3 linked regions of the Schizosaccharomyces pombe genome follow. Changing the gene in region 3 together with the main gene of any one other region gives a genetic interaction. Each region holds a gene or a part of one and is shown on either strand. Other genes may lie near its edges.

Region 1 (5,660 bases), on a different chromosome or scaffold from region 3:
ACAGAGTTCGAGGTCAACAGTTTATTAGAATCTCCAGTTTCTACGTTAATAATCTCCGTATTTGCTATTGCAAATGAGGGCAAGAAGAAAAGAAGTACGAATATAAGCCTGAACTCTCGCATTCGGAAAAACACAGGTCAAAGCAATTCCAAGTATTTGGTTCTTAGTCAGAGATGAAACCTTATGGATTTATTAATTATTATCTCTGTTTAATATAAAGGATGGAATGGTTATTCCAATAATTCATTACCGATTGGATGTCAAGGAAGAACTAGTTGGTTAATGTGCTATTCCACCACATTCGTAAATGGAAGTAATACATTACAGCACAAGCATTCTATATATCTAAAGCTGTTATTTAATTTCAAAAAGAGGAAGGATCGTGAACTGTCAGATCTTACTGATCATTACACTCAGTTTTCAACCATTGCATAACGAACCGTCTACCTGTTCATACAATTGCTCAAAACATGGCAGTTTTACTGAGAGATAAGCACATAAGTTACTTACACGATATTGGAAATGTAAGCGAAAAGAAAATAGTTTAATAATTCAATTTTCTTACAAACAGCGAACTGATGAGCTGGATTTCTGGTTGAAGGAGCATTTACACGTCAGCGCAATATATTGGAGTTGCATGAGCTTCTGGCTATTGAAGAAGAAAGATCAAATTGACAAAGAACGTATTGTATCGTTTCTGTTGTCTTGTTTGACAGAAAGCGGTTAGTTATATTACTGATACTGAAATATTGATACGGGCTGCTAACAATGAGTTAGGCGGATTTGCTTGTTATCCAGGACACGATGATCACATTACGAATACAGTATACGCTGTACAAGTTTTAGCAATGTTGGACTCTTTGCATGTCGTTGACAAAGATAAAGTTGCTTCTTGTAAGTTTCTTTGTATTTGTACATGCGATCCTTAACTAATTTATAAATAATTAGACATTATTGGCCTACAGAACGAAGATGGTTCTATGAAAGGAGACCGCTGGGGAGAGATAGACGCTAGATTTCTATATTCTGGAATAAATTGTCTGGCAATACTAGGTAAATTGGACTATCTTAATAAAAATACTGCCGTGGATTGGTTAATGAAATGCTATAATTTTGATGGTGGGTTTGGACTCTGTCCTGGAGCTGAGTCACATGGAGCGATGGGTATGTTTAATTTCAAAACCCAATTATTGACCTAATAGTTTTTACCTGTGTTGCCGCTCTCAAAATTCTCAACAAGTTAGATTTAATTGATGAAGAATTATTGGGTTGGTGGATTAGTGAACGGCAAGTTAAAGGAGGTGGATTAAATGGTCGCCCTGAAAAGTTACCTGATGTACGAAGATTGCTCTTTGTCTAGCATGTTTACTAATAGTTCTAGTCCTGTTACGGTTGGTGGGATCTCTCACCGTTAGCAATTATTGGAAAATTAGATTGGATAGACCGTAATCAGCTTATTGATTTTCTTCTAGGTACACAAGATGCAGACAGCGGAGGGTTTGCAGACCGAAAAGAGGATGCCACAGACGTTTATCACACATGTTTTTCTCTTGCAGGATTATCACTATTACAGTTTCCAAACATAGAACCCGTTGACCCTCGTTTTTGTCTGCCTTTAGAAGTCACTCAAAAAATGAAATTATAAATGATGCATTATTACTACCACATAACCATAAATTAAAAAAATAAAAACATAAAATATGTACTTTCAGAAAATTGGCTTGCGTTCTTCTCGTTCCTTTTCAACGATACGACGCAAACGCTTTTCTGTTTTAGCTTTACCTGAACCTTTTCCATGAAATTGATGAGACAACAAATATTTGTATGCTTCTTTGGGACCAAGTTCCACACCAAACTCGTCAACATACTTTATGTCCACCTGAGGTTTATAATCATGAAATTGTTCAAGCTCTATCTCCGCAATTTTTTTATCCCATCTTTCATTTTCTTTTTTTGCATACTGTTCACGTTCCTTCTGAGTCATTTTTTCAAATTTCCCGCTGAGACGATCTTGTTCTTTTTTCTTTCTACGTTGCTCCTCCAGTTCAACTCTGGCTTGCTGTTTTCTGGCAAACCATTTATTGTACTCTTCTTCTTTTTGTATTTTCTCTTTCGCTTCATCCGACACTTTAATTACGCCTTTATTCCGGAGAAGGCTTAGAACTGCACCAACATTGTCAGAGACAAGTGGCTCATCTTCTGCATTCTCCTGCTGCGTATTGGCTTCTTCGAGAGTTGCAGAAATATCAACCGAGGTGTCTTCCACTAAAGCATTACTTTCTTCAGTTGGAGAACTTCCAGTAATACTATTGGTATCGTTCAAATCTTTGGAATCTTCAAATGCTTGTTCATTTATGGAACCAAGAGCTTCTCGATTTTCAGTTTCCTTTATGCTATTAACAAAAGCACGCGTATCATCAAATATTAAACCGGAAGCCGTGTCCGAGTCCGTCATATCTGTGACTTCTTCGGCATTCTGCAATTGCTCAGCTACATCTTCTGGCTTAAGTATTTTCGCTCTTTTTTGAGCTAGCCTCCTCTGCATTGCAATTGACTGTTGCAAATCATCATCATCAGCAAACGACTGTGTTTCTAATTCGCGCATACGCTTTTGAATCTTCATTTTCTTTTGTTCTTTGAAAATAGCCGAATCTTGCTCAACTGACAGATCACTGTTACTCTGACCATTCGGTAGCACGAAATCAGATGGGTCATTTTCATTTTCATTTTCTGCATCAAGTTCTACTAGACGCTTTCTCCGATCAGACTTTGACTTTTTCTTTTTTGACTTCTTAATCTTTATTTGTCGATAATCTGATTGTTCGCTGCCAGTGATAGTTGGTTCAACGAAAGAGACAAGAGTCCCAAAAGTTTTTTTATTATCAGATTTATGTTTTTCTATAGTAGAATTAACAGTGAGACTATTTTGTGGACCAATGGTCGTAAAAGTATCTTCAGACGGTTGATCTGCTTCCGACTGTTGAAGAAAATCATTCTCATCTTCATACGGTTTGTAGGGGTTATCTTCCTTCCTTTCGTTTTTAGTCTTCCGCTGGACCATTTCAACATTTTCTAATAGATCATGATTATCTTCGTCTAATATATCAGCATCTTTCAATGTAAGGACTAGACCATCGTTCTTGTTTAAATCTTGAAAACCGTGTGCTATTTTCATTCCTTCTAATGAGCTATTCACATTGGGACCAGCATTTTGCGAATGTAGAGTGGATCTTCTGGGGGCGTCATTCTTCGCTTCAAAATTCAATCCATTGCCATTTTTATTCAATGAGGAATTACGCATTTTGAGTATCCACGCTCGAGTATCGTTAGCATCGATTTGATCATCCTCTTCTGCCAATGTTTCAGCGAGTGTTTTTCCTTGCGTTCTGCGTCTTCGTTCATTCTTTTGCCGTAATTTTTCAAATTTGCTTTTCAGTTCTTCTTCTTTCTTCCTATTTATTTCCTCCTGCTCTTGTTTCTTCCAATTTTCATAGGCCTGTTGTTCTTGATCGACATACGAAGACTTGACTGAAGCATCTGAAAGTTCTTTCTGAGGTTTTTCTTCTGAAATATCTAAGGGTTTGAGGCCTAGCGAAATTCTAATTCTATTGGTCTCCTCAATAGAAATCGATTCAGAGGCGCCTGAATTCCCAGACATTATACTAAATCCAACAGCAAGTGACAGACTTTCAAATGCTGATAAATAAATAATAATATGGATTTTTAATAAAAAAATACACTAAACTTGCAACTGACTCAAGGATATGAATAAAATAGGAGAATGGCGAAATACACGAACCGTAATATTGTTTCAAATAATTTACTTAAACTCTCATTTATATCTCACTAAGCTATTTTAGCGTACTTTCAAAAAAAGTTGCGTTTCCTAGTATGCGTCCGCGCTTGCTAAGGAATAATAAACAAAATACGTTAAAAAGAGAAGAGCAATTGAGGCGATACGTATATGAAGTATACATTTTCCAACAAGCAAGGATTCGTTATGATACCTATTATACGGCCTGGTCTAGTTGTAAAAAGATTACAAAGTCCCAAAATATTTTTAACTTTATGGAAAACTTGTTATAATGTAAAAACTTATTCCACTGAGTCTATAAAACAGAAGAAACCTCAAGATTTAAATTGGCCCACATTCCTGAAATTAAGAAAAAGCAGAAGGATTTTTGAAACCTTAACTTCTATTCCTACTGCACTTACCGGACTAGGATTAGGATCCGCCTATTTTCTTACGCGTACTGTTGACCCTACCATGACTATTATGGGTCTTGATCTATTTACTCTATATGTTATTGGAACTATTGCATCCGGAGGGCTTGGATGGCTTTTGGGCCCTAGTATAGGTAGAAAAATATGGACACTGCTTCATAAAAGTCAAGCGAGACAAATTGCAGCGGTACGTTCATTCCCTTAGATAATAGGGGTTATGTTAGCATCTACGGACTATGTTTTCTGAAAGTATTCTAATATATTTAATTTTTTAGAGAGAACAAGAATTTTACCGTCACTTGGTTAAAAACAGGGTTACACCTCAAATGGAAAGCTATTCTAATCCTATCCCAGGTATGCTGTGAAGGCTGCGTCATGATTGATGTCTAACTCTTAATTAGATTATTACGGTGAGAAAATTTACTCCCTTTCTGTATGTGATATGTGTTATCTACTCATTTACTTTGTACACTGATTACTAACTTTTATGCAAAGGACTATCGACGTTGGTTGAGGGATCAGAAGGCTTACATACAACGGGCATTTTGGCGTACAAGCAATCGTTAAATTAGAAGTGTTGAAGTGATAGCTTGTCATATAGAATTGTGGATGAGGTTCTTTTCTTAACACGATAACTAAAAGGATACAGAAGCATTGCCGTATCAGTATTTGTGAAAAGAAGTTCATCTATTGAAATCTGTATAGTCTCAACTTATAGTACAGACTTTTCTCAAGCAAGTGTTTTTGTCCATGTGTAGAGAAATTCTAGTAATGATTATCTTAATTATAATTTACCGTGCATACAATTTCTTACATAATTTGTTGTACATGTCACTCCTGCTATTGAATTTTATCTTTTGCAACAAGCTTTTGCCGTCTGTTCTATGATTGTTGTACAACTGACATGGTAAAACCATTAGAAGCAGATATTAGAAGATTATAAATATATAACATTTTTGTTTGTAATGCATGACATGCCAGTACACAATTTTAATAACAATTAAAAAATGCATTGGTTCAATTTATAAATTACAAGACTGAAACTGATCAAATAAAAAGAATATAGCTAAACCTTTGAAAACATAATTAATAGTTTACAGTATCAGTTTTAACTTGATTACTCCTCCAAAATTCAAGAACCTTTATGTGTAAACATTAATATAGTTTTGATGTAATAAATTAGCGAAGGAGATCAAATGTTGTTTCGCTGCGCGCTATTTGTAGGATTCGTAGGTTGAAAACGAGGCAACCTTGTATCTACCACCTAACGGAAGTAAACAAACTAGTGAGGGCAATTCATACATTTGAGTTAGTTAAAGCGAACTAACTTGAATTATTTATTATTTGTTAAAGGATGACTTCGGCTCTTTACTCTGGTGGTGGAAAATCTGCAGGATCATTGGAATCGGCACTTGATGAAGAACGTCTCGAAGTTT
Region 2 (11,236 bases), on a different chromosome or scaffold from region 3:
ACGATACGTCGGACGGTATTTACGAGTTCCGAATTTTTTCGATTGAATAGTGAAGACGTTAGTAGAAGGCTCGGGGGCATTGAAAAACATTATAGTTTCTTGGCATGTCACAACTGAGCTTTGCTGTAACCTCCAACCTAATAAAGTCGTGATGGAAGGGCTACCAACACACAAAATGCTGACACGCTCCTTTTTTCCTGCGTCAGTCATTTCAGTAGCAAATTAAAAATGACTCTTCTTAAAAAAAAATTATATTTACACTTTAAAAAAAAAACTCAATCGTTGGTTTTGGATTTCTTTTTTCGAGTTGAATTCGTTTGTTAAATCTTTAATAAACTCCACGATTCCATGCAGCTCTAATAACGACTATACTAAAACCGTTTTCACACGTAAATCGAAAGCTTTTCTAAAAGTGATTTATCCAAAGCAGCAAATTGTGGTTTGCTATTTTTCGAAACCGTTTCTATAGGATCACACCGTACAAAAGAGCGCTAATTGTAAATGTATGTATTTGGAAAAGGGAAATTGGTTTCCAATGGAAACGATCGGTTTTCCTTGTGGCTTCTAAGACGTATGATTGTCGGTCTCGGGGTTATGCTTATGGTAGAAGAGCGTGTATGGATATGACAACTCATACCATTCCGCTTGGCACGATCTTCCTTGGAGTGCACTAAAAAAAAACTAAAAAAATTTTGATCACTCGTACTACAAATAATACTTATTTTTATTAATACTTTAAGACAATTCAATTCATTTTAATTTCCTTTTTATTTAAAATGCTATAGAATCAAGACAATACTTTAGGTTCGGAAAGCGAATATATCTAATACTATATGTCCTTGTAAAATTGAATACACCAGATAGAAAGATCTTTATCTTTGTATGTTTAATTAGAAAGAAGACGAGTTTAACATTAAAAGAAATGAATTGAGATGTAGGGAAAGAAAGTGCGTGGTTCGTATGCTCTTCAATGTGAATATAGCGAGTGGTTGTTTGCTAAACGAGGCTAAAAGCAATTTGTGATTGATAAGCGAGTCATGAAATATCAAGTGGTATCAATTTGGAATAGTATAGGAAATAGAGTATCTAAAGTTACAAATCAGGCACTTGCCATGGAAACCGATGGTATTTACATTGATCGATAGGACCAAACAGAAGAAAAGAAAAGAACGAAAAACAAAACAAAACAAATTTAGTGCATAAACAATCTGATCAATTTTTCTTTAACTTTTGAACCTCATAATAGCCTCTATCAACAAACGAAGCAAGTGTAACGCAGCCCCCAAGCAAAGCTAAAACATTACTCAAAAATCCACCAAAGGTATTGCCACGTACTTGACGTTCAATAACACGCATAGGACTAATATCAAATTGAAACCATACACCAGGGATTCCGCCATGAAAGTTAACATGGGTAGGGACTTTTTCTTCACGACCGCCACGAATAGAACGTTCATGCTGTGTGACAGCATATTTGTTTGTGTCTATGGGAAGTGTGCTCTTAGACAAAGGCATGAATTGGTAGGAAACGCACTTAATAAAATATTCGTAGCGATAATCGGCAGTGCTTACCTTTTTCACTGTTCCATCTAAAGGATTGGAATAGTGGACAGACGCATCTAAAGGAGGGCCGAAACTAAGATGATGGATGGAGTGACTCATGTCATGCAAATCGAGTTCATTAATGTAGTCACGTGTATCATGAACATGCTGATTTCCGTTTTGAGTAGATCGTCCAGGAGCAATGTGGAAATTACCGGCCATTCGATTGACGGAGAGCTGACCAGCCAAGTTACAACCTTCGACCTTTTGAGCTTCATAAAGCTCCTTAAAGTTTTCATCTTTACACTGTTTAAAGGCATCAACGTCACCAATTCGCCAGTGTGCCTTACCGTACGCATCTCGAACGGCATCACAGGTATTGCAACAACCTGGGGTATCTTCAGGAGCAAAGTCGGCTGCCCCATAACAATCACCACATTCAGCGGCTCCGTCGTCAGAAATAGATTGTTGATTTCCAATATCCAAATCATCAACGCTTATAATTTCGCCCGAAGGGCTCAACCTCGTTTTAGAAACGGTATGGTGGATGTCACGCTGGAATTCACCACTGACATCCAAGACATCGACAGTAAGTATTTGACAAGGGATACGGGGGAAGGTGATGTTAAAATTGATTTCCATTCGATCGCCATGTGAGGGATTGACGATGATTTCATGGACTGCGATGACTCGCCTGTAATTGATCCATTCCATGAGAACAATAAAAATGACAATAAGTCCGGAAACGAGTGTTATAAGACCGCCACTAGCAGTTTTTATGCGAGCATCTTCGACAGTTTTTTGAAAGGCATCAAAACGCCTAAGGGGTGAACGGAATTGCATTTTTTGAAACTATCGGTCGATAGATACGTTTTTGTAACAATAATACAGAGGAAAAAAACGATTATATGGAGAAGCAGTTCTTTGAACCAACTTGAAAATACTTTTTTTGGATTAAAGGATTAGAAGGGCCCACCTCAGTGGTTCCAACTATGCACGGTTATGTTAGAGCTTTGTGAAATGCTGACCACCAAATCTTATATAAAATAATGTGCTTGAACTTGAAAAACGATCATTCCCAGAATGAAATATTTGGAAATTGTCGAAACAACTTGACTAAGGGGGCTTGAGGTAGTCGGGGAAAGTATACGTTGAGGGTCAACCCAAGCGCAGGACTAGAAGTAGGTTAATAGACAGAGGTGCAAAGAGGGATTGAATTAGTTTGACAGGGATTATGATTGTTTATTGAAAAATCAGATATATATGGGTTCAAATGGAATGTATTCTAAGGGAGCCTAAAAGGCGTTTCAGTTTTAACGTGGAGTTTAATGTAAACGCCGAGGAAAAAGTAGATCAATTAACTAAAAAAGAGAAGACAAATAGTAATTTGAAAGGAAAACTCAGTGTTATTAAGTACAACTCAGTGTGATTGAGTAAATATAGTTCAAGTATAAGTGCGTATACGTTCCAGGTATTATTGTCTTTAAACAAAATCTAAGTATTATTGACTAAAAAACAATCCAAGTACTATTTAGCAAGCACAATCCGAACTACCTATTGAGTTTACACAGTTTATTCAATAAGCGCTTATGCGATCTAAGCACTTTCGAATAAGCGCTTGTTGAATAAGCGGAATCCAAGCTTCTCTAATATAAACCTAAACCAAACACTATGGGATAAACGCAACGCTACTACAAATTTTTTTTTTTAGCATGTCTAATACGGATACCATCAATGTATGACTCAATTTCAAGCATCACCGTCGCCAACACTGTTTAACCAAATACCTTGTATACTAGCACCGCTGGTTTCGTTATGATGCGCAACTAACAAGAAAGATGTACAAGGATGCCTTGTAAATGGGTATTTGGGAGACACAGGATCCGGCAACTTGTGCGATTTGATGAGTTTCCCTTGATGTACATCAGTCATTATCCTATGTCTTTTCCCCATTTTTCGCCATCCTAAAAAAAGCTTAATTCATTATTTGGTCAGCAATCGCAGAAAAGACGCTCCAACACACTCGTGCGTATGGCTGTTCTCCATATTGGGCCAACCTTGTTTCGCTGACTTCTCATGGTGCACTATGTATGCCTAAGTAATTCACAACCATTCACAATACGAAGTGTAAGCACAGATCGGGTTTAGGAAAGGGTAATTGTAATCACATGAGTGCATATCCACACAAATGTCAGAGGAACCTCTCGTTACTCCTTTTCCTCCTCATTCTTTGCCTGCAAGGAGAGACCACCTTTTGCTCATTCCCATCATAACCCTTTCGTAAATGTACTAGTTGGAGGTTCCTCCACCTTTTTTATCGACCAACACTCTCTGCCCATTCGGCCATCCGATATCTACTCGACCGTCGCTTCCAATCTATCTATCCTCATGTACTGCACTTGGCGATCCAGTGGTATGGAATTTCGGAGCTTGATTGAACTTATGGCAATCATCATCAAATCATCAACAGAGAGCACCGAATATTTTTATCTAGGATAACCTGAAGTGGCCCCCAAAGAACCCAAACCCCCACAACCTTCACCTTCCTAAGTAGAGTCCTTCTTAGGTGTACATCCCAATAGAGGTTTTGCAAGGCAAGACACACAGCGCTTGTAAGGTTGGTTATGCTTGTATGTTTTGTTATACTGCACTTGCGCTTTTATTTCCACCGATGCTTTTGTAAACAATTGGACATCATAAGCAAAAGAGTTTTTTCTTTTAAGGGATAAATAATAAATTGAATGAATGGATCCATTCATTCAATTATTTTTTTCCCACTTGCATTTTCGTTGACTAATGGATTCACTGACAATTACTTGCTTGCTAATCAATTTCGGCGATTACACACTGCCTTATTTTCGCATTCCCCCGTCCAGGCGGACTTTACATATTTTACTGAATTTGTGTACAATTGCATTGCTACTGCTGTGTATCTACATTCCGAAGCGATATTGTGACCGTTTCCTTCATCCAAATCTTTTTTTTTTCCTCATATACAACATCAATAAAACGCGGTTTCGTTTTGGTGCTCTAAAACGTTCGTTCCTTCCTTCGCTCTAGTCTGTTGTCACATACTTACATTCCCGATCTACCTCGCGCTTCCTTTCCGGCTCGGTAACGGCAATCAATAGCTTTGGAACGTTGGGTGCTTGTGCCATCGATATCATAGTTAATCAACCTCAAATCAGTGTTTGGTTGCGGTGGTCGTTTAGCGTAGGAAAATTTGTTTTGATCAGTGCAACGATAACATTACGGTAGCGTGATCCAATTTATATACAAGGCAGGCTTTGCGCTCCAATACATACATCCTAGTCATTCATACATAGCGTTTGTTGTTCTGTGTTTATTCTTACTAGTTCTCATTCATAACAGTGAAACCGAAAACACAAGAAAAAGAAAAATATACAAATCCTAGTGTTCCCATTCTTTTTCTTCTCCTTTCTTTACGCCATCCTAATCTTCAAATAAAAGCTAGCTTGCTGCTTTTCTCTATTTTTACCTTATCACATTCTAATTTGCATTCACTATCCTCTACTACGTGCTTTTGCGTGGACGTACGAAAATCTGACTCGTTTGCTCATATCACTCTTTTCCCGAGCTTACATATAAATACACACACACACATTCGTCCCTAGTACGTATACACCAACTTAGCATCGATATTCGTGTGGATTATTTGTTGGCGAAATTTCAAGCTTTCCTCGATTGAAACTAAAATATAAAAAGTAACGGTATACAATAAAGTTGATTTGAGAAACTGTTTTCTAGTTCTTGTGTCTCTTGCTTTTTTTTTTTTTTTCGGTTTTTTCACACTACCATCTTACATATCATTCACATTGTTTCGTCTTACAAAGTAGTGACTATTCTTAAGCTTATTAGCATCCATCATTCCGTTTATCTTTTTTGTTCCCTTTCATATTCCTTTATCTTTTTTTTCCTTCATTTCATTATTGGTTTCTTATCATTCCTCTCATCAACGATAAGATCAGACCTTGCAGGAAAAGTTGCGATTTCTAACCCTACAAAAAGTATTGACTTATTTTTTTTATCTCCTGTGAGACATATTTTTTTTCCTTCTTATTTTTTCCTCCAATTTTTTTTATTTTCTCATATACTCAAATGTTTCGTGCTGGCTTTAAACGCTTTTGGAATCACCCTGCCGGTCCCAAGACTGTTCATTTTTGGGCTCCTGCCATGAAATGGACTTTAGTCCTTTCTGGTATTGGTGATTATGCCCGTTCCCCAGAATACCTTTCTATTCGTCAATATGCCGCCTTGTGTGCCACTGGTGCTATTTGGACTCGGTGGTCTCTGATCGTTCGTCCTAAAAATTACTTTAATGCTACTGTCAACTTTTTCTTGGCCATCGTTGGTGCCGTTCAAGTTTCAAGGATTCTTGTATATCAACGACAACAAAAACGCATCACCGCTCAAAGTGAGCAACGTACCGAGTTGGCCCGAAGCCTTGCTGCATAAAAAAAATTTCAGACAAAACTTACTTTTGTTTCCCCTAAAAAATAAAAAACATGGAAAGGATGAGTGGATGGATATTGGGGAAACAAAATGATCCCTCTTCTCTTTCTTTCACCTTTGTGCCGAGAAAAATAAATAAGGAATAACAGTCCTCCTAATCATCTGAAAAGACATTCTGTTTGGTTTGATTTATTGCATACGTTACTAGCGCAGTCTTCAACAATTTTTCGTATAGATTAAAATTTAAGTGACTTTTTCTATACTTTGTAAAGTTTCCTTTTTCGACAACTTAACCCCTATTTGTCAAACCTTACTTTCTTTTGTTGGTTTGATTGTTATTAAAAAATTCCCAAAAGAGTCGACGACAAGTAAAATTCCTTTTGTCTTCTTGTTTTCACATTGCTTTGTTTGTCCGTCATTTTGTTGAATTGACTTTTTTTTTGCTTTTCTTTTTTAAAGCAGTTATTTATTTGCGGGGATTTTAAAAAAATATCGTTTTTTTCTCTTTCAAATGGAGTTCATGTATTATCGGTTTTGGGGTATTTGTCAGGTCGCTATTTCTTGGGAACATACTATCAGATTATAAGCAGAAGTGATATATTTATGAAGGAAATAGTTTCTGCTAATTTATAGGCTTTTCTCCCATTCTTTTCCGTTGACCTATTTATGTACTGCATATCGCAACCCGGGCTGTCTGGTTAAATGATTTTGTATATTACAAAGCATTTCCTGCCCCTCCCTACGAGTGCACTTTCGTTTCTGTCTTAAGTATAACATACTCGGTGTTTCATATTTTATTTGAAATGCCTTGAAAAAATTGTAAAGGTTTGGAAATAAGATCCTTATGTTGATTTTATTTGGTTATTTTGCTTTATAAAATATGCGGTTGGGTGAATGCTCGACATTAACCTTTAATGAATTGAAAAGGGAATGTTTTTATAACTAAATTGGTGAAATTTTAAGTTTCGGATTGTGATTATTTCAACCGCTGGATTGGGTTTTGTGTCTGTGGTACTTGTTCTTTCATGTCGTGTTGAAAAGTTTTACTACATGTTATGTTTTATTTGAAATGAACTTTTAATAATTAATTCTATTCTTATAAAATACTCTTTAGGTCAGGATTTTTTATTTTTTTTACTGTCATACGTCTGGTTGATAGGCGAAAGTGTCTTCCGTTCCAACTTCACTTTTTAGTAATAGCTTATTTCTGTACAATAACGGTTTTTGCTTATTTATTTTTTTTTTAATATTCAGTTTGCTTCAATCCAAATGTGCATCGTGGATTTATACTGAAAGCATTAATAAAGTAACTACGTAATAAGTATTTGTTTACACAACCTTTCAGCATTTGTATGAATGCTACCTACTACTTATTATTCTGTGGATATGGAGATTCTACACGACTATTGTTGTTGTTTATGCCGTAAATAATTAACACTTATGAAATTTGAATTTTTGTATATTTCCGTGCCATTTACCTAAGTATATAATAATCACGAAAATGTATACAGAATAGAAAATTTTTGTAAAAATATGATTTAACGGAAGAAAACTATAAGCAAAACATGCGACAAACAAAAGAAAGAGAGTTTAATCAAAGAATGACATACCAAAATCAAAAGTGGTGGTGGTGATAAATAAAAACAAAGAGAAGCAAGAAAAAAAAAACAGTAACCGTGCTAACAAAATCATATAAGCTCTATGCAACGCCAAAGTATTCTGATAGCATGCTGTTAATATACAAACTATATGAAAACATTCGGAAAAACAACAAGGACTAACCAGACATTAGCCAACCGTATTAGTAGAAAAAAATGCATCTACATTACGACACACTGCTCTTGCTGCTTTTTTTTAGGTGCCTTTGAATGTGTTTGCTTACTAGATAAGGCTTGTTCTTCAAGGCGCTTTTTGGCCTTAGGGAATCCTTGCTTTGCTGCACGAATGTACCAATTATGAGCAGAGGATGGATCAGCAGCAACACCAATGCCTTGTTCCATCATAAAGCCAACAGCATACTGAGCTTTAGCCAAACCTTTGCAAGCCGCTTTATGCGCCCAAAGTAAAGCTTCTTCTCCATTCTTAGGCAAAATACCCTCTGAACCCGTTAAATACCAACCGGAAAGTCCTAGTTCTGCCTCGCCATAGTCTTGTTCGGCAGCACGCGTGTACCAAAAAATACTGCGTCGAGGTTCTGCTAAACACCCTAATAAACCGTGTTCATAGCACTCCCCAAGTTTACACTGGGCGGCAGCGTAGCCATAGACAGCTGATTGTTTGTAAAGTTCAAACTTTCTTTCAGGGGTTGCAGATACTCCGTAACGATCCGGTTGCTCATAAATCTTTGCAAGTTCATACATAGCTCTAACTGATTCGGGCCCCTTAGACTTACATGCACGTTCGAGCCATTGCACACCGAGAGATATATTGCGTTTTTGCCCTAACAAACCATTTAAGTAAATCAGAGCGATACGAAACATAGCTTCGACTACATCCATTTCAGCTGCCTTTTTATAGATGGCAACGCACTTACTAGTGTCCGGCTTAACCCCGGTACCAGTTTGAAGACAAACAGCAACTCTGTAATTACTCAAAGGATGTCCTTTTTTAGCTGCAAGGCTGTACAACTCAAATGCTTTTCCCAAATCGCGTCTAAATCCTAATACCCCCTGACTGTGAAATTGTCCTATTAAAAACAGAGCTTCGGGTACAGTATTCTGGGTTTTGCTAGGATAAGCATTCTTTTTTAAAAGTTCAACAGCTCTGGTTCGATAAACATTGATTCGAGTATTATAACTAGCCTGGTCGGGAGCTAAGCTCGGCTTGTTTTCTAAAGTTTCTAATGCATTCAAATAAACTTTTGCCAACTCAACTTCGTCATCAGGTGTGATTTGAGATTTTTGGCGAAGACGCTGTTCTTCTTGCATAGCGTCTCCGTGCGTCACAATTTTTGGTGACGGAATCATCAACTTATCATCAGGATGACAAGGAATCGCATCCTTCGTCTTTTCTTTTGCTTCTGCACCCACTTCAAAAATAGCGGGTGAAGAAGCATTACTGTTAGACATCATAGATATATTCCTTTCAAACTTGGAATTAGCAACCTTGGATGATACATTAGCAACCGATGTATTTTTGTGATTACCAATAGACTTATTACTTTGCTGTGGAATAGGGGAAAACGAAGGTGTCACAGCTAAGTTATGTGAAATCGGTGTGCTATCAGCACGCATTATCGGGGAAGAAACAGAAGGGAGAGGACGAATGTCAGAAACTAACCCATGGGTTGTGTGTACCGGAGGAATTGGCGATAAAGGACTTGTTTGACCGTGTATAGAAGTAGGCATTGGTTTAATTGCCTTAGGACGTGCAAGGTTTGTAGGATATGAAGGTAAATTATTAACAGTTGGGTTTGTGCGATTATTATCATAACCTTCGGGAGAGTTATTATTCGAGTTCCTCGAAACATTTCTACGATCAAATGTAGGAGCAGGAACCTCAACTGGAGAACGAGCTGGTAGCATTACCATTTGAGAATGTGGATAACGAGGTGGTTGTTGAAGTGTAAGCAAATCATCATTTCGAGGATTTTTCAAAGTTTCGGATGATTTTAAGTCATTAGAAACTGAAGGAAGCGAACGTTCATCGCTTTCTAACCCGAATGAATCTGTATTCGAGTCGGTTGATGAAAAGTGACTTTTTGAAGGGAGGTGTCCAGAGTTTTCATAAACTGGTCCCAAATGACGATGAGCAGGTTCTGCATCTGACGAAGCATTAGAAACTGTATTTGTGATGGAGTCACTTTCTGCTCCATCTTCTTCCTCCAAAGTTTCTATTCGAGAGTTACTCTTAAGCTGATTGTCTTCAAGTACAGTATCGTCATCCTTGTAATAGTTATCTAAGAAGTCATCAAACCCACCGTATGGTATGTAACTCATACGACGCTGTACACGACTTATAGAATTAACACGTGGAGGTGCCATATATTTTCTATGAGGATCCGGTTGTCCAATCTCATCCTTTCCATCATCTAAATTGGTCATTGGCGTTGGTCGCGGAATAGAAACCAAAAAATCTTCTTTCTGCTCATGATTTATTTGTATTGGGGCATCTTGCCGATCCAACTTTAAACTAGGTGAAGGCAAAATAGGAGAAGCCTGTCTCAAATTAGTGTTCAGCTTTAACCCACGGTTAACTACACGTTTGCTTGTAGGAGCAGGTGCAGCTGGAATTTTATACTGTGGCTGTGGCTCCGGCTTGACCGGTATGGTTGCACGCGGCAATTTGTCTTTGAAGGTATCTTCACTAACAACAGGCCGGGATATTTTTTTCTTGGAGAATTTCAATGCTGAAGGTGGAGTACCCATTGTAGCGCTCATTATACTAGCCCTGTTCGCGTCAATCCTTGAAGACAGGTCCAAAACATTCGTATACACTGGTTCATGGCTCAATGTCGGATATCTCGATGTAGGACGAAATTGAAGAGTAGGGGAGGATGAAGAAGCTGTGTTACCGCTTTTTAAAAAAGCTGGGGTACCCTCTGTTCTTTTTCCATTATTCGTTGCGAATACCAACTTTTCCTTCTCATACTTCCTCCGAGAGCTATGTGAATCTTTCATTAACAGATTAATTTACGAGTGAAATAAAGAGCAAAAGGTAGACGCTTTAGGAGGAAAGCAGTAAGAAACGAGGATAATGAGGTATCGCAGTTTGATGAATGTTACAGCTCTTCTGCTGTTGCCAACAAAACGAATATCTTACAGCTCACTAAACAACAAATAATACACGAAAACAAAAATTTTCCAAAATAGTAAAAATGGTTCAAGATATTAAATTGCAGATAGTGTCTATTTCCCTATCAAGTAAATGATTTACATAATTTATCTGGTAATTGCAAGTTCTTCTATATAAATGGCGAAAGCTGAATATTGACGAATAAAATAGTGGAAGATAAATAAAAATATAATATAATATAATGAAAAAGGATACTTCCAAATAAACATCATAAAATTAAAGTGATAACTTTCGCAAATTGTAATGTAAATGCCGTTCGAAAGTGAAATGCAATAGTAAAAGACAGTACTGTAAATGTCAAAACATCAAAAGCGAAGCTCAGTATCTTCGAAAATAGTTAATAACAGTAGATGTCTTATAAAAATACCATGAACAAGGGTCATTAAATTTCCCTTTGATTATAATAGAGTCCCGAAAGAAGGAGCAG
Region 3 (10,765 bases):
AGTGACCAAGGTTCGCGAAGCATGAAATTGCTCTGCAATATTGGAAATACTTGGCGCAAAGACACTATCACCGTATTGATTCAAAAAAGTCATTGATGAAATAACAATGACATTTCGTACCTTTAAACGAATAGGCCATGTTTTAGGGTTATATTTGTCTGGACAGTTTGTCTCTAGAGGGGTTGATGGCACGTGTTTTATGGAACTTGAATCGCATTTTTTTAAAATTGACTCTTCTTTCATATAAAACACAGAAATTTGTTTGAAAAAAAAAATGAAAATCTTCTAGCGATTATTCAAGTAATTACGTAGATTGATTAAGCAATACTAAAGGTCGTTTCCACTATAGTATTCCTATACAACAAAAAATCACCAAAAGTTATTTGAAAGTAGTAGGCTTGAGGTTCTAAATTAAAAGCAATTTTCTTTTTTGGTTACTTTTGTATGGTCCGGTTAAAATATAAAATTAATGCACAAAATACTTAACTTATGTATATAATCTCAGTTACGCGGAAAATACATGCAATAAGTTTTCCGCGGTGCACGCTTCACCGCGGAGCATTCTAAGTAAGCACGATAGCAAGTTATAAATTACAGGCATGGAAAGTATACTCAATTTATTTTAATAGACTTTTTTCCAAGTTCTTTTATACAATTCTGCTATTTTGTCCTATAGATCGCCTCAACGAACACTCACTACAGAAGAATTCTTTAGACTTGCACGATCCCATCCATCATGGATCCATCCTGCTGATTCAGCAAATGACCACCTCACACCTGCTTTCTTTGGCATTTATATTCGATCCATAACTTTCTAACCATTAATATAATGCTGAATTCATGAATGTTAACAATCGATTTCTAATAAGAATAGCCAATCTATCAAAGTTAAAAGCTCTGGTCAGTTTAATGGATTTTCGCTAGTGCATCATAGCCTTGATATTTCTAAGGTTTCCATTGGTTGTAAGTTTCTTTCAACTCTTCGTAAAGAACAGTTGTTAGCTAGCTAATTGAGTGTCTGAATTTTTTTTTGTTAATGGGTTCTTAAAATTGATGTATATGTCCATTCATCTTTATATATTTTATGTACATGAACTATTTACAACGCATTTTGGCAAACCATGTGTAAACATTTATTTTTCTAGTTAGGGGAAGATGAAGCAGGACTTTTCTTCTTTAATGTCTTCAATCTTCCAATAGTTTATAAAGAAAGCTTTTTGACATTGTTTCTTTTTAAAGCGAGGGAATACCTTTTATGGCCCTGCCACCGTCTATAACGTGATTTGTTTGTTTCGCTAAACGCTCTTAGGAAAACGGAGCTATCAGAGTGACATATATGACTTAACGAAGCTGTGTATGGCTCATGATCACTATTTAGAATTGAATGAAAACAACCAATGTCAATCACAGTGTCGAAATGCCCCTTGAATTCATTTAATCTTGAAAAATCGCGTTGATTAAAGTTGACATTACTTTTTTCACTAGATGTTTTATCGATTGCTTTAGAAATAGCCCTTTCGGAAATATCAATACCCACGACTTTATATCCAAGACTGGCTAAATATCTAGCATTTCTATTTGGTTCACAACCGGCATCTAATACATTCTCATGTAATTTCCCCAGTTGTACAAGATTCATGATCTATTCGTCTGGTTTCTCATTATCAAATGGTGTTGCGGGATCTTCATACATATTTTCCCAACTATTTTTTACTTCAGAGATATATTTCTTCATTGTTCTTAATGATATATAAAAAATGGTGAAATATTTATTTATTGCCCCATCATGTTTATTTTTATATCCTTCTTTCTCTGTCAGGAAATCTATTTCCGAGCTGACGATAAAAAAACATGTTGCAAGTCGCCGAAACTACCTCGGCTTTTATTACTATGTCCGAAAAGTGCGCGAAATATTGGAATGGCTTGTAAATTATGCATTTAGCCAAATAAAGTGATAGTAAGCGCAAAGTGTATGACTCAATGAAAATCGGGTGTATCAACTACTCAGTTGTTTACCATACAATGTATTGTAAATTATGGGTAGTGTCGTCGCTATTACATTTAAAAAATATATTATATTGAAGGTATCTAATAAGAAGTAAATGTTTTTCTGTGTAATAATAGTGAATTCTTCTCATCAAAAATATAAACGAACTGATTTTTCGTCACCTTATTAGGTTATACAAAGTCATAACAATGCAAAACCAAAGCGGATAGCATATCAAACTAAGAATATGACTTGCTATTAAAAATTAGTTTCGCTTGAGTTTTATTTTAAGAGTAGTAATAGTCAGAATTTATTGTGCTGATACACTTCAACTTACTTGATTAATAATTGAAAAAGAGAAATTTACAATTGAAATTGAAATGGATGGATTTGAAACAAACCATTCGTCAACATCACCGCTACTTTAAAAATGCTACTGTACTTGCGAGTATAACTACACAAAAGTACATATTTAAGCGATTGCATCAAGTAATGTCATATATAGAAATACAATAATATAAACGGAGCACAAACTGAACCTCGTTCTTGATATATCAAGTCCTCTTTATTGTACCATAATGTTGTATGTCGTTGTGCTATATTTTTTTGTAAGTTACAATCATACTGATTGGCATAGCTTCTGCTTTTAACATAACGGCGATCAAGCCATATTTGATCAGGTTAGGCAGAATTCCAATGATTGCATTAGAAGGTTTAGATCTTCAAGTCAATTTTACGATTACAAGCAAAGGAGAAATAGCAATCAAGCCAGTATCGAATACTCATTACACGTATATAGCAAGATACTATGGAATTGTTATCGTGATATGAATCTTGATGGTGGATTATTATAGCCCTGGTGCAGATCACTAATATCGGTTTTCGAGTAAGAATGATTCTTGCTTTCTGACCTAGTGACTTTCTCAATAGAGAAAAGTATAATGACTTGAAATTTAGAAAACGTTCTAATGGAGTTAATGGAGTGAGTTCTAATGAAACGAGGAAAAAATTTGTTATGATATACTACGACGCATCCAAATGTAAAGGATCGGAATTTAGATGAAACCGATGGTACTTCCGAGTAAATGTACCAACAATATAATAAATAAATCAGCAATTTTACTGCTAGACAATATTTCACTGTGAGGCTTAGTCTTGGTATAAATAGAGGGACTCTGTCAAAACAAATATTTTGAACTAGACTCGAATTCTTCATAATTCTATTCACTTGAGTGTTTATTTTTTTTAACAATGCCATTACATTTACGAGATATGTGGATATCCACTGACGATTATAAGGATGTTTTACTTACGTGTCCTGTGTGGTATGAAATTAGTGAAAGAGAATTAAATCATGCTGTTTGGGGACAATATTAAAATGGTGAAGTTATAATGAAACAGTTGTTGGAAGCGATTAGTTTCAAAAATTAGCGACTCGTATTTTGTTTATTATTATTATTATTTTTTCTTTTTTTTTTATTCGCTGTTTTAAAATTGTTTCCAGCAATCTTCTTCCTGTTCTCTTTTTATCCGTTTGACAACACATTTTGCTAATGCTTTTTTTTTTTTTTAGTTCAAAGAAGACTGGTACGAGAAATAAACAAGTTCAGTAGTTTCGAAAGCAATTGGCTCTTTCTTTTGTTTTTAGTCCGAGTATGTCGTCAGTTGAAAACCGTAACGGTTCTCATTGTGCCTGTTCTTCCGGTTTATACGAATAAGGTAAGAACATTCAAGAAAGCGTTTGATATGAAGTCTGTTCCATTATTGCTCTTAGTGCCTGACAAACGTTGTTAGTCTGTTTTGAGTTTACAAGTTTGTTAAGCTAATAGCCATTCATTGATCTTCATTGTTACATGCTTTCCATGGAATAGTTGGAGGTGTTTACTTTTCAACTTGTTAGCGATCGCTTGCTAACATTTTTAATAATAGGTACTTTGTTGTTCTCAGTGTGACTGGCACGAACCAGCAAATGTTTACTCGATTGAACAAAGGCGTAGTCATGATGATGATCTTCCTACCATTAAGGGTTCTGATGCTAGTACTCAACAGTATGAAAGAAAAACTTATATTACCGATGCTAGTCCCGAATCTCAGAATCTGTTTTTAAGCAAAAGTAAAGAGGAGGGAGTTATCTTCTTATGCATACAAGTAAGCTTTTAACCTTGATTCTATTTATTCACTTTTACCATTTACTACTTTCGCAAATTCCTGTTTTTTGTTGGGGATATGAAGGGGAATATAAGGGTAAAGTAGATGAAATGGATGTATTTGAAAGTTGATTTGGATTCGATTTATTACTTTGAATCCCCGTTTATTATTATACGTTTATGTCGTTTTAAAGAAAACCATGCGATGTACTATATTAATTTTGTAAAATATATATTATAGATAAAAAAATTGTTGGGAAAATGGGAAAGCAAGTTGAAAATAATTAAATTCAATAAATTAGCAAAATATGTTTATGAAGGTAACCAGTTTTTTCTTTTTATTTTTTTTTTGTCTATATGTCAGATTCGCAACTTTTAAGTTTGAACAAAACATTATTTCACATCGACTCAAAGGTTATGTGTATTTAAAACGTTCCAGTAAAAAAATATTCATTTGTAAAAAATAAATAGGTGGTATATTAAATAAGAATGAACTTACTACACAATTTCTGTGTAAAAAAGTGAGATTAAAATAACTGGATATTAATCCATTGATAAACAAATAATAAATAAAATAATCCCGGTAACCCCTTTAAAGGTGAATCAAGTAAACCATGGTTTTTGTCAAATCATTTTCTCTTGAGCCTCTTCAGCTACATTTCGATTGTAGGCAAGTGCTTCATTATGGGTGGGAAACATTATGTAACATGGAAAAGCAATTTTCTCCATAAAAGTGAAAAGATCACCAATGATCACCGACAGTCTGTAATCAAAGTTTCCAAATATAATATTCGACAGGTAATGCAACATTGGAGATGCACAGAATATAAAGATAAATGCATTTAGCATTCTTCTAAAAAATCTGGCTTTTGAAGCATTTTCGTAAGTTGTTACAGACGTGCATTGTTTCAATAAATGACAAATAGAATACACCCAAATTGCAGGAGATACCTCATACTGGATCATGTCAAAAATCTCTGATACTACATATACGTCTTTATATAAAGAAATCCAGTATACAGAACATAAAGCAATGACAATACTAATTCCTTTTATCATAAGATATTTAGGAACAGTTCTAGTTATGCCGAAACCCAATGCACAGTAAATCACAAATAATCGATAAAAATTTGTCCGAAGAAAATCAATTATTTCATACACCGAATAAAATTGTCTGTATTTTATACATTCGGAAGAAAAAACATACTCCTCAATGCATTCTTGTAGAGTCTGATTTAACGCAAAAAGAAAAATATAAAGGCAGATTACCTTTTGAGCAGGAAATATAATCTTGCTGAAATGTAAACAAGTCCATATCCAATAGCTCAAAAATAATAGTACTCCTCCCATTTCAGCTACAGAAATATAGTTCCAAATGCCAATTTCGTCATTATTAATTTGATCTTCTGAAACCGAATACCCCATAAGGTCTAAATTAAATTCAGCTCCATCCATTGTCATTGGTCTCGCAGCTACGCAGTAAGAACCCGTTTCATTAATCAAAATAGTTTTCCATATACTTGTAATATTTTCGCCCGTCCATACCGATTCCGAGTTACCAGAATATGCAAATGATCCCATCTCTCGGTTTTGGGAATTAAATTCCTCAAAAAAAGATTTTTGGATCACCGTGTCTCTTGATTTTACAAAGTCAATCATCTCCTCAACTTGATCATTCCAGCCAATTATATTTTGCCATTCATTTGCTTCAAAAAAAGACAAAGCAATTTCTCTTTTATCGAAGCTTTGTGCAAAAAAATTAGCATGTATTCTGGCACCGTTAGATTCCTCCACAATGAACCAACTGCACTTAAGAGTGAGCTTTTTGGCTTCTTTAGGCAGTCCATTATGGTTTGACAAGGTAGAGTTTTCCTTTTATGTAGTAATAGATACTGCTTTGGCGTCTACTTCACCTTTAACTAGAGTATGGAGAACTAGGTTGCATAACAGCAATGCTAGTGTTTTATGAAGACGCATCTTTAAAAAAGTTGGTAAATGATGCTTGCTCAAGGGAAAAGCAGATCAGGAATGATTAGCCTTTTATATCTTTCGTTTTGGAGTTACCGTGCTCCACGTTGCATAACGTTAGCGTTAAAACATTGGGAAGATTGGAGGGAAAAGAACACAAATAAATGGTTTGTTCACGCATCATACCTTTACTTCAAGATTTAAATTGTACAAGCACAAGTTACTGAATATAATAAAAAATCTGTTAAGTATGGAACGTGAAAGATAAAGTCATTCACCGTTGACTAGTTCTATTCCGTTAGTACTCGTACTTCATTCGATGATTGAGTTAATAACGCCGTTGGTAATATCCCGAGAATACAGAAGCTTTTTAAAAGAAAAATATAGCAAAAAAAAAAAAAACTGGTAATGACCAGTGGATAAAGAGATAGCATTCGTTTTTTTTTGAATTTAGCAATTATTAATTTAAAGCATAGATTGAAATTCAGCATGTACACTACCAATCTTTTTTTTTTTTTTTTAATTTCAATAGTTTGTTTTTACGATTGCGAGCAAGCGCCAGAACAGATTATAACGTAGAAAATTCAATTCGTCTAACTTATGTCCTGCAATATTTTCGCTTAGCAAGCATACACCACACCACCGTCCAACCATTATCGACCTAAAATAAATTCTGTCATTCAAGGTTGATCACTCCTTTTAGGCAAGATAGATAATAAGACGATTTGTTATAAAACTTTCTTTCTCAAATTTTTCTGGTCTGTCAACCATTTAAAAGTAGTCCAAAGATTTAGAATCTTTTACTGTTTATTCAAATAAAGCTGTTTAGTATTTTGTAATTTGAAAATTAGAACGATATCTATAATCACTAAGCGAATAATCACTAAACGAATTATATTTCAAACAAAGCCTTAAATTAACTCGAAGCATTTTCGTCATAAAAAATTGAAACCAAATTGTTTCTACTAACAGATAATGAATAAAACTCCTTTCCTGTAGTGAATATGACGCTGAATTTTGGGTTAAAGTAGATGAAATGGAGTTTTTGAAACACAAGTGGGAGTCCAAATTGGTTCAATTCGAAATTTTTTATTTAATATAATATATTTTAAGCTTTTAAAAAAAAAATATATAAAAAAGTCATTTTTAGTATTTGAATAATTATGAAACGAAAGATAAAAACATTAGTTACATTAAGTGATAATATCTTAATTAAAACCATAATTTGGTTTGGTTCCATAATTGAAATTCATAACGAACGCACCTTATGTGCATGATTTGGACAGGACAGTCAATTCGAACATTGTTAAGAATAGTTATATTCTATATGATCATGAAAACGATAAAGAAAATTATTTTTTCACAGGAGTAGGCATATTTTGTAGTTCTATTTGTTCAATATCAGAACCAACTGTTGTTTCTGAATGTAATGCTGTTTCTCCGTTATGTGTAGGAAGAGTGTTAGAAACACAGACGTCTCCTGGTGTCACAATTTTAAAGCCTAAAGACAATATTACAAGTTTGTAAAGAGCCCAATGACCAAAATACAAAAGGCCAGTTATAGTTGCACCCAGGGCTGCTATAATCATTCCCAAGACTGCTATAATCATACCCAAGACTGCTATAATCACACCGGTCACCCGTAAAGCAAGTACCGCAAACTCTGCAAAGACTATTTTAAATTATTAGCAAAAAAAAAGAAAAAAAGCATCACTATAAAGGAAACATACAAATTAAACTAAGTAACATTAAAACAAGCAAACAAACGTAAATAGCAATAGGCACCCAAATTTCACTGTAGAACCGATTTTCATTTATCCAAATTGAAAGAAACTTTTGGACTTCGAACTTTTTGTCTACTGCGAATACAATGATAATAGACCAAATAATAAGCAAGGGCCAACGAAAATTACTGCGGGTAGAAATCCTTCCATCAGGATAATAGCTATTGTGGAATTTAGAAAATTCAGTAAAAAGGTCATTTAAAAACTCTTTTATTTTATTTGTTTTAATATTCATCTTGTCTTTTTGAGGCTTAATGGTGTTGGTAAAGAGGGATTGTCGGGATTGTCGAGATCGTTGAGATTGTTTGTTTACCTTTTCAGGCTTACACAAATCAAGTCCCTGCTCTAGGTCCACATTACAAACATCTTCCACCATAAATAACTCATTGTAACCAGGAGGTTCAACCTGTTTTTTCAAGCTTTCTGGATTTGACATTGGAATAGAACGACAGCACTGTAATTTGATGACTTCTGATTCACTAGTATTTTTCCCCAAAGTAAAATTAAAAAGAGTGGTTTATGGAAAATAAAAAAGAAAATATACTAAAATATTTTAAGCCATAAACGAGAAAATTAAAAAAAAAAAACCAAAATGGTGAATGTTTTACGTTCTGAGGTGTCTCATTTATTTAGGAAAAGCATTATGATGTTGGCATCTCGTAATCCTTACAACTTTTTTCTTTTCACAATTTAACAGCTACGCAGTTTGGTATCTGTTTAACGATACGTTTAAGTACGATGTGTTTTCCTTGTGACCTAGTATATTACAGTACACAGTAATACAAGTAGCATCTGCTATTGATATTTTTATATATGAATTAAATTGTTACCTAATCACTAAAGTAGCTGTAGCTTATTGCTGAACCTCGTTCTTTATTTTTCAGTTTTTCTCAATTTATAGCATTTAAAAATTTTTCTAAATATCCTGCATAATTAGTAATATGTCTATCTCTATAACTCAGAGTGGAAAGTTAATAGAGCAAATATAGAACACTTGACGTATGGTGTTATTCAACGTAGTAGTATTTAGTAGTATTGTTGACCTACATACATTGTATAGGAGATTATGCTTAATCCAGGGGATCATACAAAGGATTATCCTATAACCCTTATTTTCGTTCCGCAGTAAGTAGGTGTTTGTATGCTCTGAGGCTTAGTAATATATAGCGATCAAGAGAACGTCAATATCATAGAAATTTGGAACTATCTTCATCCTCTTTTTAATATTTTACCGATGAGATTGCTATTATTAGTTACGTTGCTATCTATCGTTGGTTACACTAATCAGTTGCTTTCCAACTGACCTCGAAGACGCTCCAGCTGTAATCTGGGTAGCCCAATTTCCTCCAGATAACACTACACAGCACTATGAATTCAGATATATCGTAAATGAATTATATAATGCTAGCAAGATGACTGCATTAATGAACCATATATATATCGATAATCCGCTTATAAGCAATTCAACTAATAACGTTACTCACGAGTTATTGATTGATCTCCATGAACTTTATAATGACGGAGAGATTTCCAGGATAGTTCTACTCAGAACTTTGGTAACTCAATCTGCGGATGATGCTACATGGATAATCAACTTGACAGATGATGTGCTTAATGGATTACCACTGCTGAAGAAGCGAGACCGATACACCACACAATGTCATAGTACAAATATGGCAAGCACATATGACTGTGACACTGGAGCCAATGCTGTTGGAGCCCGAGGTGGAGCCACGTTAGCAGCCGACTATAGAGGTGATTGGGGGGGGTAATGTTATACAAACCTTTGGTAGTAAAAGCGTGTCTTACTGAGATCTAGCATGTGATGTTTTGGCTTATTATCGATGATTGTTCTCAATCAAGAGCAAACACCCACCCTGAAGTATCAGGCGTTATACCTGGTTCTGCTGGAATGCGTAGAGTATGTGTTAGTGATAGAGGATCTGGGTGTTAATATTGCATCCCATTGTCCATAATAAAGATCAACACTTGAAGTTTTAAAACAATTAAAAACAACCCAAGTTAATTGTGTAAAGTTTAAATTGGAAATGTAGCATAGAGGGTAATACCTACGATAAATGAAGAAAAATGAAAACTTATAAGGATTAAGAGAAGCATTAACTTCATTGTCTTAATAGTATAGCGTAACTGTTGCAAGATTGACAGCGATATGTAAAAGTAGTATTTAATACAGCAGTTAAAAAATGTTCAGTCCCTTTAATTCCGGTAAAGCATTCAGTCATCCTACTAAGGAAAGATTCACAGAATCGACATATTGATTGTTATTCCTTCCAACTGAAGCGGCAGCTGACTTTGTGTACTACTGGTGGACTGAATCTATCATGATTAACAATTTCTTTATAAAGTATTTGACATTCAGTCATAAAAATAACAAAAAAAATTGAAAGAAGCAAACCGTTACATACATTACATACATATTCGATAAACATGGTTATATGTCGCCATTTTTAAGCTTGAAAATGATTACATGTTTAACTATTGCTCTTTGAAACAATATATTTTGTCGGTTTTTTATTAGTAGCTAGTATATTTATGTTTAAATTTCAATAATATTTCTTCATTAATTTATTTCAAAAAACCTAAAAAAAAAAGCTATACATCTGTTTGCTCTTATATCATTTCATTATCTAAGTACAGCTTAAAAGTTTCCATTGGAAACTGAACACTATCGATATTATTTTTAGCTACCGCTTTTCTGTTCCTACATCATTGAAAGTTGACAAACATTCAAAACGATAATACTAAAGTAATAACACGCACACTATATTATCAGTAATGTTGTTTTATTAGTATCAGCTAACAATAGTAAACGTCAGCAATATTACTACACTACACTACACTACACCTTGATATACTCG

What was found.
Region 1: mutations in SPOM_SPBPB2B2.19C (region 3) and snu66 together harm fitness more than expected from each alone (negative genetic interaction), as found in Schizosaccharomyces pombe (one large-scale study listed by BioGRID).
Region 2: mutations in SPOM_SPBPB2B2.19C (region 3) and erv46 together harm fitness more than expected from each alone (negative genetic interaction), as found in Schizosaccharomyces pombe (one large-scale study listed by BioGRID).

What each region holds. Positions count from the first base shown.
Region 1 is NC_003424.3:1,553,132-1,558,791, reverse strand, and holds snu66 (U4/U5/U6 small nuclear ribonucleoprotein complex subunit Snu66), read right to left. Parts: upstream 3,794-5,660; 5' UTR 3,659-3,793; coding exon 1,709-3,658; 3' UTR 1,646-1,708; coding exon of another isoform or gene 1,382-1,645; 3' UTR 1,337-1,381; coding exon of another isoform or gene 1,203-1,336; 3' UTR 1,165-1,202; coding exon of another isoform or gene 949-1,164; 3' UTR 895-948; downstream 1-894. Other genes in the region: GPI-mannosyltransferase II complex subunit Pga1, read right to left, coding at 1-122; geranylgeranyltransferase type 2 beta subunit Ptb1, read left to right, coding at 471-524, 572-722, 778-894, 949-1,164, 1,203-1,336, 1,382-1,645; putative TIM23 translocase complex-associated motor subunit Pam17, read left to right, coding at 4,001-4,411, 4,500-4,578, 4,626-4,657, 4,720-4,791; protein Dbs2, read left to right, coding at 5,579-5,660. UniProt on the Schizosaccharomyces pombe protein: Required for efficient splicing of pre-mRNA.
Region 2 is NC_003424.3:210,822-222,057, forward strand, and holds erv46 (COPII-coated vesicle-associated protein Erv46), read right to left. Parts: upstream 2,703-11,236; 5' UTR 2,386-2,702; coding exon 1,213-2,385; 3' UTR 893-1,212; downstream 1-892. Other genes in the region: SPOM_SPAC24B11.07C (oxidoreductase), read right to left, coding at 1-210; pyruvate transmembrane transporter Mpc2, read left to right, coding at 5,662-6,018; cfh1 (chitin synthase regulatory factor-like Chr3), read right to left, coding at 7,836-10,634; serine/threonine protein kinase (NDR family) Sid2, read right to left, coding at 11,208-11,236.
Region 3 is NC_003423.3:4,499,152-4,509,916, forward strand, and holds SPOM_SPBPB2B2.19C (transmembrane helix domain-containing protein), read right to left. Parts: upstream 5,794-10,765; coding exon 4,759-5,793; 3' UTR 4,514-4,758; downstream 1-4,513. Other genes in the region: SPOM_SPBPB2B2.16C (MFS family membrane transporter), read right to left, coding at 1-243; ftm7 (transmembrane helix domain-containing protein), read right to left, coding at 2,805-3,245; SPOM_SPBPB2B2.18 (uncharacterized protein), read left to right, coding at 3,541-3,574, 3,636-3,706, 3,917-4,135, 4,376-4,513; SPOM_SPBCPT2R1.01C (uncharacterized protein), read right to left, coding at 7,455-7,774, 7,833-8,322; SPOM_SPBCPT2R1.02 (uncharacterized protein), read left to right, coding at 9,299-9,658.